2 linked regions of the Caenorhabditis elegans genome follow. The protein of the gene in region 1 purifies or fractionates together with the protein of each later gene. This does not show direct contact. Each region holds a gene or a part of one and is shown in the gene's direction. Other genes may lie near its edges.

Region 1 (7,577 bases):
CGTCAATATTTCTAGGCCAGATTTGCATACCTGTCCGTATAAAAGAACAATGCCAAGAAAAATGAGAAAAATAATTAGAAGCAAATTAATCGGTCTACTGGCACGAGATTTCATTTCGAAAAAAATATCGGAATATTTTGATTCCACCTGCCCTTTTATTGGTGCCGTTCCGGATTGTTTCGTAGAATACTTTTTCAGATTTAATCGCGATTTTGTCCAGTTTTCCATGCCGAATTTCGATGGTTCGACAAGATTAGTGGACGACAAAAAGAAACGTTTTGTTCTCAAAATTGCTTTTGGTCGGCGACAAATGTTTCGGGAAAATTCTAGTTTTTTTTGGAGGAATTTGTAAATTTATCAGGAGAATTTTTAAATTTACCAGGAGAATTTTAAAATTTACCAGGAGAATTTTTAAATTTACCAGGAGAATTTTTAAATTTACCAGGAGAATTTTTAAATTTACCAGGAGAATTTTTAAATTTACCAGGAGAATTTTAAAATTTACCAGGAGAATTTTTAAATTTACCAGGAGAATTTTAAAATTTACCAGGAGAATTTTTTAATTTACCAGGAGAATTTTTAAATTTACCAGGAGAATTTTTAAATTTACCAGGAGACTTTTTAAATTTACCAGGAGAATTTTTAAATTTACCAGGAGAATTTTTAAATTTACCAGGAGAATTTTTAAATTTACCAGGAGAATTTTTAAATTTACCAGGAGAATTTTTAACCGGTTTTTAAAATTTTCGGCAATTGCCGGAATTGCCAAGATTGCCGGAATTTGCGATTGCCGGGCATTTTCGGCAATTTTGAAACCTAGTCATATTGTGGAAATTGAAAAAATTTCACCTTGTCTCTTAGTATTCATTTAGTCATTTTCTGAAAGAAAACGTTCAATCCTTAAAGGATCAAATTATGTTGAGCTTGAAAATAAAACATTTTTCATCAAAATGCATGTTTAGGCTCCTAAATCTACAAAAAAGTATCAAATTTATATTTCCGACAATTCTGATTTCCGGCAATCGGCAATTACGGCAGTTGCCGGTTTCAAAAAATTCGATAATTGCCGAAATTGCCGAAAATCGATTGCTGGTAGGCAATTGCCGCGCACCCTTGTTCTTCAGTAGAGTACAGTACTATATTACAGAACTGCCACTACAGTACCCTTACAGTACTCCGACACTTTTTCCCTAACCAGGTACGGACCGTCACTGCAAAGTTTTAAGCGTTTTATTTGCAGTTTTTGATGTATTTATGTGTAGAGTTTTTTGGAAAATTTTGAGAATTTTTTAAATTTTAGTTTTACAATTTTTAGATGTTCGGTAATAATATTCCTTATTGAAAAAATATTAATCATTTCTAATTCAACATATGGAATTCTGGTTTTGATACATGTTAATTAGCGTTCTTCAAGTGGCTCTCCTTCTCCTGTAATCCACCGAACATTGTGGACGTCAACACACACACACACACACACACACACAAAAGACGAAACGACCCAACAAATACAATTACGATGTCTTCTCCGTCTACTCTCTCATTCTTTAGGACTAAAGAGGCACAGCTGCCAGTAACAGGGACCCCTCCTTTGTGTCTGCGTCTCTCCCTCTCTCTCTCTTTGGGGTGGCCTTCGTCTTCTCCCCCATCCTGCACACACACACACACACCCTGACACCACAACGGTTTCATGCAAATTCTATATAATATTTATTGATTTTCTATCCTTATTAATTTCAAGTTAAAGAGTTTAACTCTGAAATAAAAATCTTTGAAAATGAGGAATTTTCTGGTATTTAGCGTAATTTTTATTGCGTACAACAGCTGTGAAGCAGCGAATATTCAAGCAGGTGAGTATTTTTCAAATTGATTACCTATATAAAAATTTGAGGTTAAATCCAAGAAATTATAGATTTTAGCCAAATTTCCACGAATTGAATGAATTTGCCCAAGCTTGGACCCGAAACGACAATTTTTGTAAAATGCAAAAGGGCATGCGTCTTTAAAGAGTAATGTAGTTTTCAGCTAGGATTTGCTATTGAAAAACTAAAAGAAAAACTATTTTTTAAAAAATCAATAAAATTAAACGTCTCGATATTACAGTCATCTTCAAAGACGCACACCATTTTGCATTTTACAACAATTTATCGCTTCGAGACCAAAAATAAATTTTTTTTTTTTTGGTTTTAAGTCTCTCCTCTAATTCGGCATTTTTGCGCTTGCATTTATTGTTATAACATAAGTTAATCTATTTTTTAAAGCAACTTCATAAAGTTGCTTGAAAAAATTGATAAAATTATTTCGACCGTAAATTTGTATGGTTTTTCGTGACGAGACCCAAGATTTTTAAGGGTTTTTTGGCAATTTTCAGTGAAGTTTTGTGAATTTTTTTTGTGTATTTGAACGTTTTTAGTATGAAAACTATGAAAAAAAAACAAATTTTTAAAAAAATTTTCTGAATTTCCATCCGTTACATATTGAGTTTAATAGCATATTTTCATGGAAATTTTTATAGATTTTTCACAGTTTTTATTTCAATTTGCTATTGTTTCCGGTGAAAAATGCATCTTTTTCAAAGATCAAACTTCGCAACAACAAAAGTTTTGCAAGTACAGTAATCTTCAAAGGCGCACACATTTTTTCATCTAACAAAAATCTAGACCGGGACGACCGTATTTTTTGACCCGAGCGCTTTGCAAAATTTCGCATTTGCACGGATTTCTAGATTTAAAAAAAGGATTAAAGGACGATCACGTTTTTCAAGTGCTATGCACTGCGGATCTGGGATTCAGGTACCTGCCTGGTGGTGATCCCTCATTAATTGAAATGGAAGAGTTTTTGCCGAACTAGGCCATTTTGGCTCGTCCATATTTGGGGTAGATTTACGGCGCGTTGCGTGTCGCGTCGCGGCTCGCCTTTAGTTGTAAAAATAAATGTATTTGTCCGTCGGTAGATTGTCAATGGAGCGCGATAAATGCAATGAGGAAGGCCAGAACCCCGAGATTTGGGTGTTAAAAAAAATTTTCTTTCCAAAAATTCAAATTTTCGTGGGTTCAACAAATCAAGGATCATAAGTCAAAAACTGAGCGAAAAAATTATGCTTTTCGAGATGATAAGGTCCCATTCATTACAAATTGTATAAAATTGTGTATGCAAATATGCTCTAAAGATAATTTTTTTTGTTTACCTAGGTATTAGTGTCATCAATCCAATATATATGTATTTACCTAAATTCTTAATTTTTGCAGACAACACATTTGCCGACCCGAACATTGGAGAATTCCGTGAACTACTAATCGACCCAAAAGCCGGTGCTCTTTTTGTGGGCTCCGAGGGAGCCATTTTCCGTCTTTGGGCTTATAATATCAACGATACGGGGGAGAATGTGTTCGCCAAAAAACAACTGGTGCTCAGCGAGTCCGAAGAATCCGAGTGTCGTTCGACGGCCAGTGACGAGCGATTGTGCCGCCCGTCGACTCGATTTTTGGCGTTTACGAATAACCTCGACTCGATTTATGTTTGCTCGTCGGTTGGCATGAGGCCGGAGATTCGTGTGCTCGACTCACTTTCGTTGCGAGACCAACAGGAGCCGCGGACCGAGATTGGGATTTGTGTTGTGGATCCGACGTTTAATTTTACGGCGGTTGTGGTTGATAGTGGGAATCCGGAGGGTAAGCAAGTGCGCTCTATTGATAAATGAAATTCATTGATAATTTGGCTGCAATTTTTCAAAATTGTTTTGAAACTTTTCTAGTTTTGAATGAGTTTGCTTAAAAAAATGACCAAAAATACCCAATTATTTTACAAAAACTATCAAAAAACATCCTTGAATTTTGCAAAAATTTTTGTTGCACAGAAAGTGGGGCGGAGCGTAGCTTTCGCAACACTGCCGCACGGGTTTGCCTCCGCCCCTTCTCCACTGCTTTTCTTGTTGATTTTTTCAATAATGTTTCGATTTGACTATTATTTTTCTCTTTTTTCGAAACAAAAAACTTTTGAGGCAAACCCCGTGCGGCAGTGTTGCGAAGTTACGCTCCGCCCCACTTTGTGTGCGACAGAAAAAATTTTGCAAAATTCAAGGATCGATTAATAAGTTTTGATAGTAGATTTTATCACCAATCCCCACGTGGTGTCAGGCTGCTTCATTTCAGTTTGATCTACAAAAAATGCGGTAATATTTTTCCATAAAAACTGTGACGTCAGCACGTTCTTAACCATGCAAAATCAGTTGAGTACTCTGCGTCTCAACTCCCGCATTTTTCGAAGATCAAATCAAAGTAAGACATTCTGACACCACGTGAAATTGTGAAAAAAATATTTGTTTTAGTCTAGAATTTGGATACATTATCTATTTTCTGCAAACTTTGTGAATGATAATTCTAAATTACACTTTTTACTGTGATTTAGAATTATCGATATTTGAAAAAAATTTTGCAAAAAATTTTTTATTTTATTCTCATAAATTTTGCATCAAAACATTTTCCAAAAAATAAAGTGCAAATTCCAAAAGTAATTTTTGCAATAATGTTTGCCAAATTGTTGCAGTTTTCATTTGCAGATGCCACATCCGTATACTCTGGAATCCGTACAGGAATGGGCGGTGAGAATCATCTGATCTACCGTCCACCGCTCACCAAAAACGGCAAACAACTGCACGCCAGTATTCGAACAATCTATTCGGACAACAAATGGCTCAATGAGCCGCAATTCGTCGGCTCATTTGATGTCGGACAGCATGTGTTCTTCTTTTTCCGTGAAATTGCACATGATAACTCGTTCGGCGAGCGAATCGTTCATAGTCGTGTGGCAAGAGTTTGTAAAAAGGATATTGGCGGGAGAAATGTATTGCGACAAGTTTGGACGTCATTTGTCAAGGCTCGACTTAATTGTTCGGTTTCTGCAAATTTCCCGTTTTATTTCGATCATATTCGTAAGTTAGGCCACCGAGTGGAGCATCGTGGCCGAGAAAAAGAGAAATTGAAAAAAAATCAATTTTATTCATTTTCTGTTTGAAGTCTTGAAACCCTTCAATTCGTGATATTATACTAATTTTTCACGGATTTCTGGCTACCCTCATAAATTGAAATGGAAGAGTTTGCCAAAGTAGGCCATTTTGGCTCGGCCATATCTGGGGTAGATTTACGGTGCGTTGCGTGCCGCGTCGCGGCTCGATTTCAGTTGTAAAACTAAATGTATTTGTCCGTGTGGAGTACACGACTTTCTCACGAGTTGTCCGGCAGGCGAGAGCGCGAAAAATTCAATGAGCAAGGCCAGAGCCTCGTGATTTTAAAACAAATGTTCGCCAGTTTTCGCAGTATTCACGTGGTGTCAGGTTGTCCCATAACGGTTTGATCTACAAAAAATGCGGTAATATTTTTCCAAAAAAACTGTGACGTCAGCACGTTCTTAAACATGCGAAATCAGTTGAGAAGTCTGCGTTTAAATTCCCGCATTTTTTGTAGATCACAACAAAATGGGACATTCTGACACCAGTATTGAAAAATATGGCGACCGAGTGTAGCATCGTGGTCGCACGGGGTTATGGTCTTTCTCATTGAATTTTTCGCGCTCCATTGGCGATCGCCCGCCGGACAACGCGTGGGAAAGTCGTGTACTCCACACGGGCAAATGCATTTAGTTTTACAACTAAAATCGAGCCGCTACGCGACACGCCACGCGCCGTAAATCTACCCCAGGTATGGTCGAGCCGATAAATTTAAGGAAAAAAAATCATGAAGTTCTCAAATTTAAGACCGTCTCAATAGAGCGCATCTACACTGTCTATTTTTTTTTTCAGAATCCGTAAAACGCGTCGACAAACACGGAGAAACCTACTTCTACGCCACGTTTTCCACATCGGAAACCGCATTTACTTCTTCTGCGATATGCATGTTCCAACTCTCTTCAATCAATCATGTAAGTGGTGGCCGTGGCCGCCAAACAAATCAAATTAACTCGGCCACCTATTGAACTTTGTGTTTTCAGCTCCTCGACACCGGCCTCCTAATGGAAGAGACTGCGAACGGGCAGTTTTCGGTGACCGCCGACGAGATTCCGGCTCATCGCCCGGGAACGGTAGGTGGAAAATGTGCTCTATTGCAAAATAAATTTTACAAAAAAAAATCTAGTTCAAAAATGAAATTTTGCGTCAGAAGTGGGCGGAGCCGTAGTTTTAGAATTTTTGAAAAATTTGAAAGCCCGCCTACGCTCGGTGTCTTCTAAAAATCGGTTTTAACTCGGCGGGGCTTATTTCAAAAAAAAATTTCTTTAATTTTTTGCAATTTTTTTCAAACAATTTTGATGCGGAGCACGTGGTGTCAGGCTGTCCCAATATAGCTTTATCTACAAAAAATGCGGGAATTTTTCCCAGAAAAATTGTGACGTCAACACGCTCCTCCATTCGAAATCAGCTGAGAACTCTGCGTCTCTTCTCCCGCATTTTTTGTAGATCAAAGCGAAATGGGACTTTCTGACTCCACGTGGCCGAGCATATTAACAAGGAAAACATGCGTTGGTCCGAAAATATTGATACCAGGGGGCGGAGCTTATTTAATGATTTTTTAAAGGAACATCTTGGAAGCCCCACCCATTTCTGACATAAAACCCCTTTTAATCGATTTTTCAGGATGTTAAAATCAATTTTGATTGAAAAATACCTATTTTCCGTTGGTGAAATTCATTTTTAGATATAAAAATTGTGTAATATAAGCCCCGCCCATTTCTGACGCGTTAACCACTTAATCATCGATTTTCTCTCTTTCAGTGCTCACAAAACTCGCACAGCATTTCGGATACGGATCTTCACTTTGCAAAAACGCATCTCCTGGTTTCCGATTCCATATCCGGCGGAACCCCGATTCTGCCACTCCGTGACCACGTTTTCACGCATATTGTCGTAGATCAACTTCCCAACCAGAATGTGATTTTTGCATTTGATAGTGCAAATCGACGAGTTTGGAAAATTTCGCATTGGAAAGAAGGAAACGAGTGGAAATCGAATTTAATCGAAGAAAAATCGCTAAAAATTGCGGCCTCCCGGATTAATGACGTGGCACTTTTGCCTGCCGAATTCTTCTTTGTCACGTCTGGAGCCGGTGTCTCCCAATTCTCAGTTGCTCGATGCTCGGAGCAACCATCCTGTGCTCTCTGCTCCCTTGATCCCTACTGCAGCTGGAATGCGGTCAACTCGAAATGCTCGCTGAAAACAAAGACAAATGAGAAATCAGTCGGCTGGATTTCGAGCTCATGGGCTGGAAGAATATCACCAGAGTGCTCCGCTGTCGAGAAGCTTACCGTTAAGGATGTCTACTTGGGCGACGGGCTCCGTTTGGTTGGAGCCAAGAATGGGGTGTGGCAGAAGGATGGGCGGAGTGTTGAGAGTGGGCAACGGCACGTGGTGACTCGGAATGGGGAATTGGTGGTGTTGGATGCGCAGTTGGAGGATGCTGGAACCTATGAATGTTTGAGAGATAATATTATTCTTGTTAGAGCAAGAATTGTTGTTCATGGTAATGAGTTTTAACAAAAAATTCAACTGAAAAAATCACGAAAAACTGTACTTTTTTGCGGCCATGAAATTA
Region 2 (5,036 bases), on another chromosome or scaffold:
TTTTTCAGAAAATTTTTGAGTTTTTGGGGTGTGAAAATTTTCTGGAAGCTTCGTGAGAAACCTATAAAAATTGACACATTTTTTCTCAATTCTCGATAAATTAAAAAAATTCTCGAAACAAAAAAATGTCCTTCATCTACTTTTTCACATTTTCAAGAGCATTAAAATTTTGCAACTCTGGAAAAATCCACTGTTTCAGTAATTTTACAAGCTTCTTGCCATATATGTGGTGTTAGAGCGTCCGATTTCGGTTTGATCTACGTAGATCTACAAAAATTGCGGGAGAAGAGACACAGGGTTATCAACTGATTTCGCTGACGTCACAATTTTTGCGCAAAAATTCCCGCATTTTTTGTAGATCAAACCGTAATGGGACAGTCTGGCCCACCATGCGTATATTTTTATCCGAAATTTTATCTCTCCAAAAATAAAAGCAATCTTTTTTTCTAAAATTTCCAAAATCCCAAAAACTCGCCACTTGAAAATAGTTTCATTGTCCATCATCAACATCAGTTCCCTCTCTCCTCAAAACTAGAATAGCAGATGATAGTCTGCCTCATCTTTTTCCATGCCATCTCCAGTCATCGTCTTCCTGTAGGGCCCCCCTCCTGTGTCTCTGCGTCTCTTCGTCTCCCCTACTCTCTCACTTCCTGATTGGCTCGATTGTCCATGACGCCGAGGATAAGACAAGATTTTTTCTTGTGCAATTTCTGTGACTTCTGGGACCAAAAAAATATCGGAGCCACTGCAGGCGATGTTTTTCTGTTTACTTTGTACTTTTTGTTTTGATTTTTCTGAAAAAATTACCGAAAATACTTTATTTTTTATTATTCCGAAACGACGTTTTTCCGATCGAGAGCAGTTTTTTTTGTAGATTTTTGATTATTTTGAAAAGGTTTTTGGGATCGGAAATTTTTTAGTCAAGCTTAAAATTTTTTTTAAGTGTTGGTGTAGATTTACGGGGTCTAAAAGTGTGAAAAAAAATTCAGAAAATAAAAGTTCCAAAAAAATTCAAAACTATCACCCAGACACAAAATTTAGCGATTTTCCCTTCAAAACTACAGTACCTCGGGTCTCGAAGCGACAATTTTTGATATTTTTTTTATTACATGCAAGAAGGTGTGCGCCTTTACAAAGTACTGTAGTTTCAATTTTTCTTTTCGAGTTTTCATGCATAGTTTTTCACATGATTTTTTATTTTCTATAATATTTAAGTTTTTAAATGAATAAACATATTTTTGCTTGAGAAACTATAAAAATTGGCAAATTTCGAAACTACATCGTTTCGAGACCAGGGACTGTATTTTTAGAGCGAAAATTCTGGAAATTTTCAACTGGAAATTTTCTCTTTTTCTTAATTTAGGAGGACCCTAAAAAAAGAGTATTCTTAAAATTTCAAAAAATAAAAAATATATCCCTCATTTCGGCTTGATCTACGTTGATCTACAAAAAATGCGGGAGAAGAGACGCAGAGTTCTCAAGAACTTGCTGACGTCACATTTTCAGGGCAAAAAACTCCCGCATTTTTTGTAGATCAAACCGTAATGGGACAGCCTGGCACCACGTGCCCTAGATTAATCAAAGATTTTAAGAAAAATCCGCTCCAGGAGCATTTCTAAAGACTACTTAAATACGTGGTGTCAGGCTGTCTCATTACAGCTTAATCTACAAAAAATGCGGGAATATTTTTCCAGAAAAGTTGTGACGTCAGCACAGCAGTGCAAAATCAGATGAGATGTCTGCGTCTCAGCTCCCGCATTTTTCGAAGATCAAAACGAAATGGGACTTTCTGACTCCACGTGCTTACAGAGTGTTCACCATTTTCTCCAATATTCGATCACCCTCATGCACCATGCCATTCCCCCCTCTTCACCCCCCGTTTCCCAAATACCAGACGGGCTCCAATTTCTGTCAATGATTTGCATCTCATTGACATTCGCCCCGCGGACACTCCATAATCATACCCCCGCCCCGTGACTCCGCCTCCTTTTTCGTTATTTGATTAATTTCGAACATTTTAGACTGCCTGCCTATAATGCATCATATCCTGAGACGTCGGTAGATTTTTGGTAGCAGACTTTTTTTTTGGATTTTTCCAACAATGCGTTTAGTTATTGCACAGTTTCTTCTAATAACTCAGGTATTTGCTGCACAAAAAAATAGTATTGGTAAGAGTTTTGTAACTTTAAAATGTCTGAAACTGTGAACTCCAGGTCCCCCGAAGCTTCTAGAACAATCAGGCGAAGAGGTGTGGTATCATTTAGATGATGAGGATCTCCTCAAAAACAGGTTGACACTTCGTTGCGAGGCAGATGAGAATACTGACAGGTGGGTGGAAATTTGGGATTGACAGGTGCTGCGTAAAACATGCAAGCCTACCTAGGCACCTACTAGGTGCCTACCTGCCTACGTGCCTTGTACCTCTGTGCCTAGCAGGTGTCTAGTAGGCACCACCAACCTCGTGTTTACTTGCCTACGCCTCTAGTGAACAATACATTTTTATGCCTGCTTGCCTACTGGCATAGTAGGTACTACAAATTCCAGCTCTGCCTACTGCCTATTTTTTTTTAACTTTTTCGGTTTTTTTAGTTGAGTTTTTGGTTTGGTTGAAGGTACTTCGCACTATGCAGCTTATGTCTGGGCGCCTGTATATTGTAGGCCCTGCCTATAGGTATACATTTTTAAAATAGCGTGCCTACGTGCCTTCATGTCTGAAACTGAGAAATCTTGTTTTTTTTGTTGAGAATTTGATGAAAATTTTTGAGAGAATTCGAGAGCATTTTTTAAAATAGCTGTGAAAAGTTTGCGAAAAACCGTCGCCTGCCAGGCGCCTACCGAAAGACATGAGGCAGGTGTAGGCCTCCCATGTGGTAGGCAGGTAGACATTTATGCCTATATAAATAAACTATTTCTGCAATAAAAGTATGTGTTTTTTGGTTGTAGGCACAAGACAGGCAAAGGTCACCTCGAAGGTAGGCAGGCACGTAGGTAGCTATTTAGGGCAGGTAATTAGGTAGGTATGTAGGCAGGCATTTATCAACTCTATTTCCAGATACTCCTGGCTCAAAGACGGTGAGCCATTCGTCATTGATTCCGAAGATGTTCTTTGGGAAAAAGAAAGTCAATCTGGATCAATTGTTTTTACAAAACCTCATGCTAGTCATCAAGGGTGAGAAATTCAGATTTTTGGAAAAAAAAACCAAAAAATATTGCAGATATTATCAATGTTTCGCATCGAATATATTTGGAACAGCACTTTCGAACAAAATGCATTTGAGGCTTGGATGTTAGTTTTTAGATGATTTTTAGAATTTTAAAATACTGGTGGGAAAGTCGAATTTTATTTTTTGAACAATTTTGTGAAAAAATTATTTTGGCGCATAAAAAAATAGGAATAAAAAACGTTAATTTTTCCAGAACACATTGGATTATTTTCAGCATGGAAAATGCCCTGAGAATGTTAAAATTTGAATATTAAAAAAAATTCTGCGGGAAGTTAAAATTCAATTTTTTAGTTTCTAACGAAATTTGGTGTGGAATTTTAACTCAATTTTTGCCAGAAATTTTGGTGGGAAATTCAAATTTAAAACTTTTCAAAATTTGGAAAAATTAAAATTCAGTTTTGAAGCCATTTTTTCAACAACTTCCAGTATCAATCAATAAATAATAAGAATTATGCTAATAATAATAATAATGTGTTTGTTTTGAATTTGGCTCAATGAGCACTCGAGTGCTCTTTTTGCCCCCTTTTAGCTCGCCAAGGTGCTAATTAGTGAATGGGGACGGATTTAATCAAGACCACCCACCACCACATGTTGATTATTATAAAAAGGGAAGGGGAGAAAAAAGAAAAAAGAAAATGATATGTTTTATCGAATGTGGTGTCAGAGCGTTTCATTTCGGCTTGATCTACGTTGATCTACAAAAAATGCGGGAGAAGAGACGCAGGGTTATCAACTGATTTCGCTGACGTCACAATTTTTGGACTAAAAATTTCCGCGTTTTTTAGATCAAACCGTAATGGGACAGCCTGACACCACGTGTTATCGAGAAAATTAATTATTTCCAGCACTGGAACACTTTCCAAAACGGGATGTTAAACTATTGAGAGTGAAGGAAGGAGAGTCGCTGACGTTGAATTGCACACCGCCACGTGGCACACCTGATCCGAAAATTGTCTGGCTTTATAGGTAAGGGAATAGGCAAAATTTCTTAAAAACACAGAATTGAAGTTTTCCAAAATTTTAACAAAAACAAAAAATTTGGGAGATTCGTAAAATTGCACGTTTTTTTGTGTAAAAAAAAATACGTCGAAACTTCCGGCAAATCGGCAAATTGCCGAAATTAAATTTCTGGCAAATCGGCGAATTGCCAGAATTGAAAGTTCCGGGAAATCGGTGAATTGTGGGAATTGCAATTCCCGGAAAATTGGCAAATTGTCGGAATTGAAATTTCCGGCAAATCGGCATATTGCCGGAATTGAAATTTTCGGCAAATTGGCAAATTGTCGGAAATCAAATTTCCGGCAAATCGGCAAATTGCCGGAATTGAAATTTTCGGCAAATCGGCAAATTGTCGGAATTGAAATTTCCGGTAAATCGGCAAATTGTCGGAAATCAAATTTCCGGCAAATCAGCCAACTGCTGGAATTGAAATTTCCTGCAAATCGACAAATCGTCGGAATTGAAATTTCCGGAAAATTGGCGAACTGTCGGAATTGAAATTGTCGGCAAATCGGCAAATTGCCGGAAACGAAAATTTCCGGCAAATCGGCAAATTGCCAGAATTGAAATTTCTGGAAAATCGGTAAATTAATGGAGTTGAAATTTTCGGCAAATTGTCGGAATTGAAATTTCCGGCAAACCGGTAAACCGGCAATTTGCCAATATTGAAATTTCCGGCAAATCGGCAAATTGTCGGAATTGAAGTTTCCGGCAAATCGGCAAACTATCGGAATTGAAATTTCCAGCAAATCGGCAAATTGCCGGAAACGAAAATTTCCGGCAAATCGGCAAATTGCCAGAATTGAAATTTCC

Evidence for each region.
Region 2: the proteins of mab-20 (region 1) and lad-2 purify together in Caenorhabditis elegans (affinity purification with western blotting, with the first as the bait; one study listed by BioGRID). This does not show direct contact.

Annotation. Positions count from the first base shown.
Region 1 is NC_003279.8:1,645,453-1,653,029, reverse strand, and holds the start of mab-20 (Semaphorin-2A), read left to right. Parts: upstream 1-1,572; 5' UTR 1,573-1,774; coding exon 1,775-1,847; intron 1,848-3,245; coding exon 3,246-3,668; exon of another isoform or gene 3,669-4,555; coding exon 4,556-4,927; intron 4,928-5,794; coding exon 5,795-5,913; intron 5,914-5,982; coding exon 5,983-6,072; intron 6,073-6,760; coding exon 6,761-7,505; intron 7,506-7,577. Other genes in the region: Y71G12B.18 (Methyltransferase FkbM domain-containing protein), read right to left, coding at 31-114.
Region 2 is NC_003282.8:2,975,464-2,980,499, reverse strand, and holds the start of lad-2 (Neuroglian), read left to right. Parts: upstream 1-2,015; 5' UTR 2,016-2,101; coding exon 2,102-2,168; intron 2,169-2,213; coding exon 2,214-2,328; intron 2,329-3,052; coding exon 3,053-3,169; intron 3,170-3,215; coding exon 3,216-3,286; intron 3,287-4,069; coding exon 4,070-4,190; intron 4,191-5,036.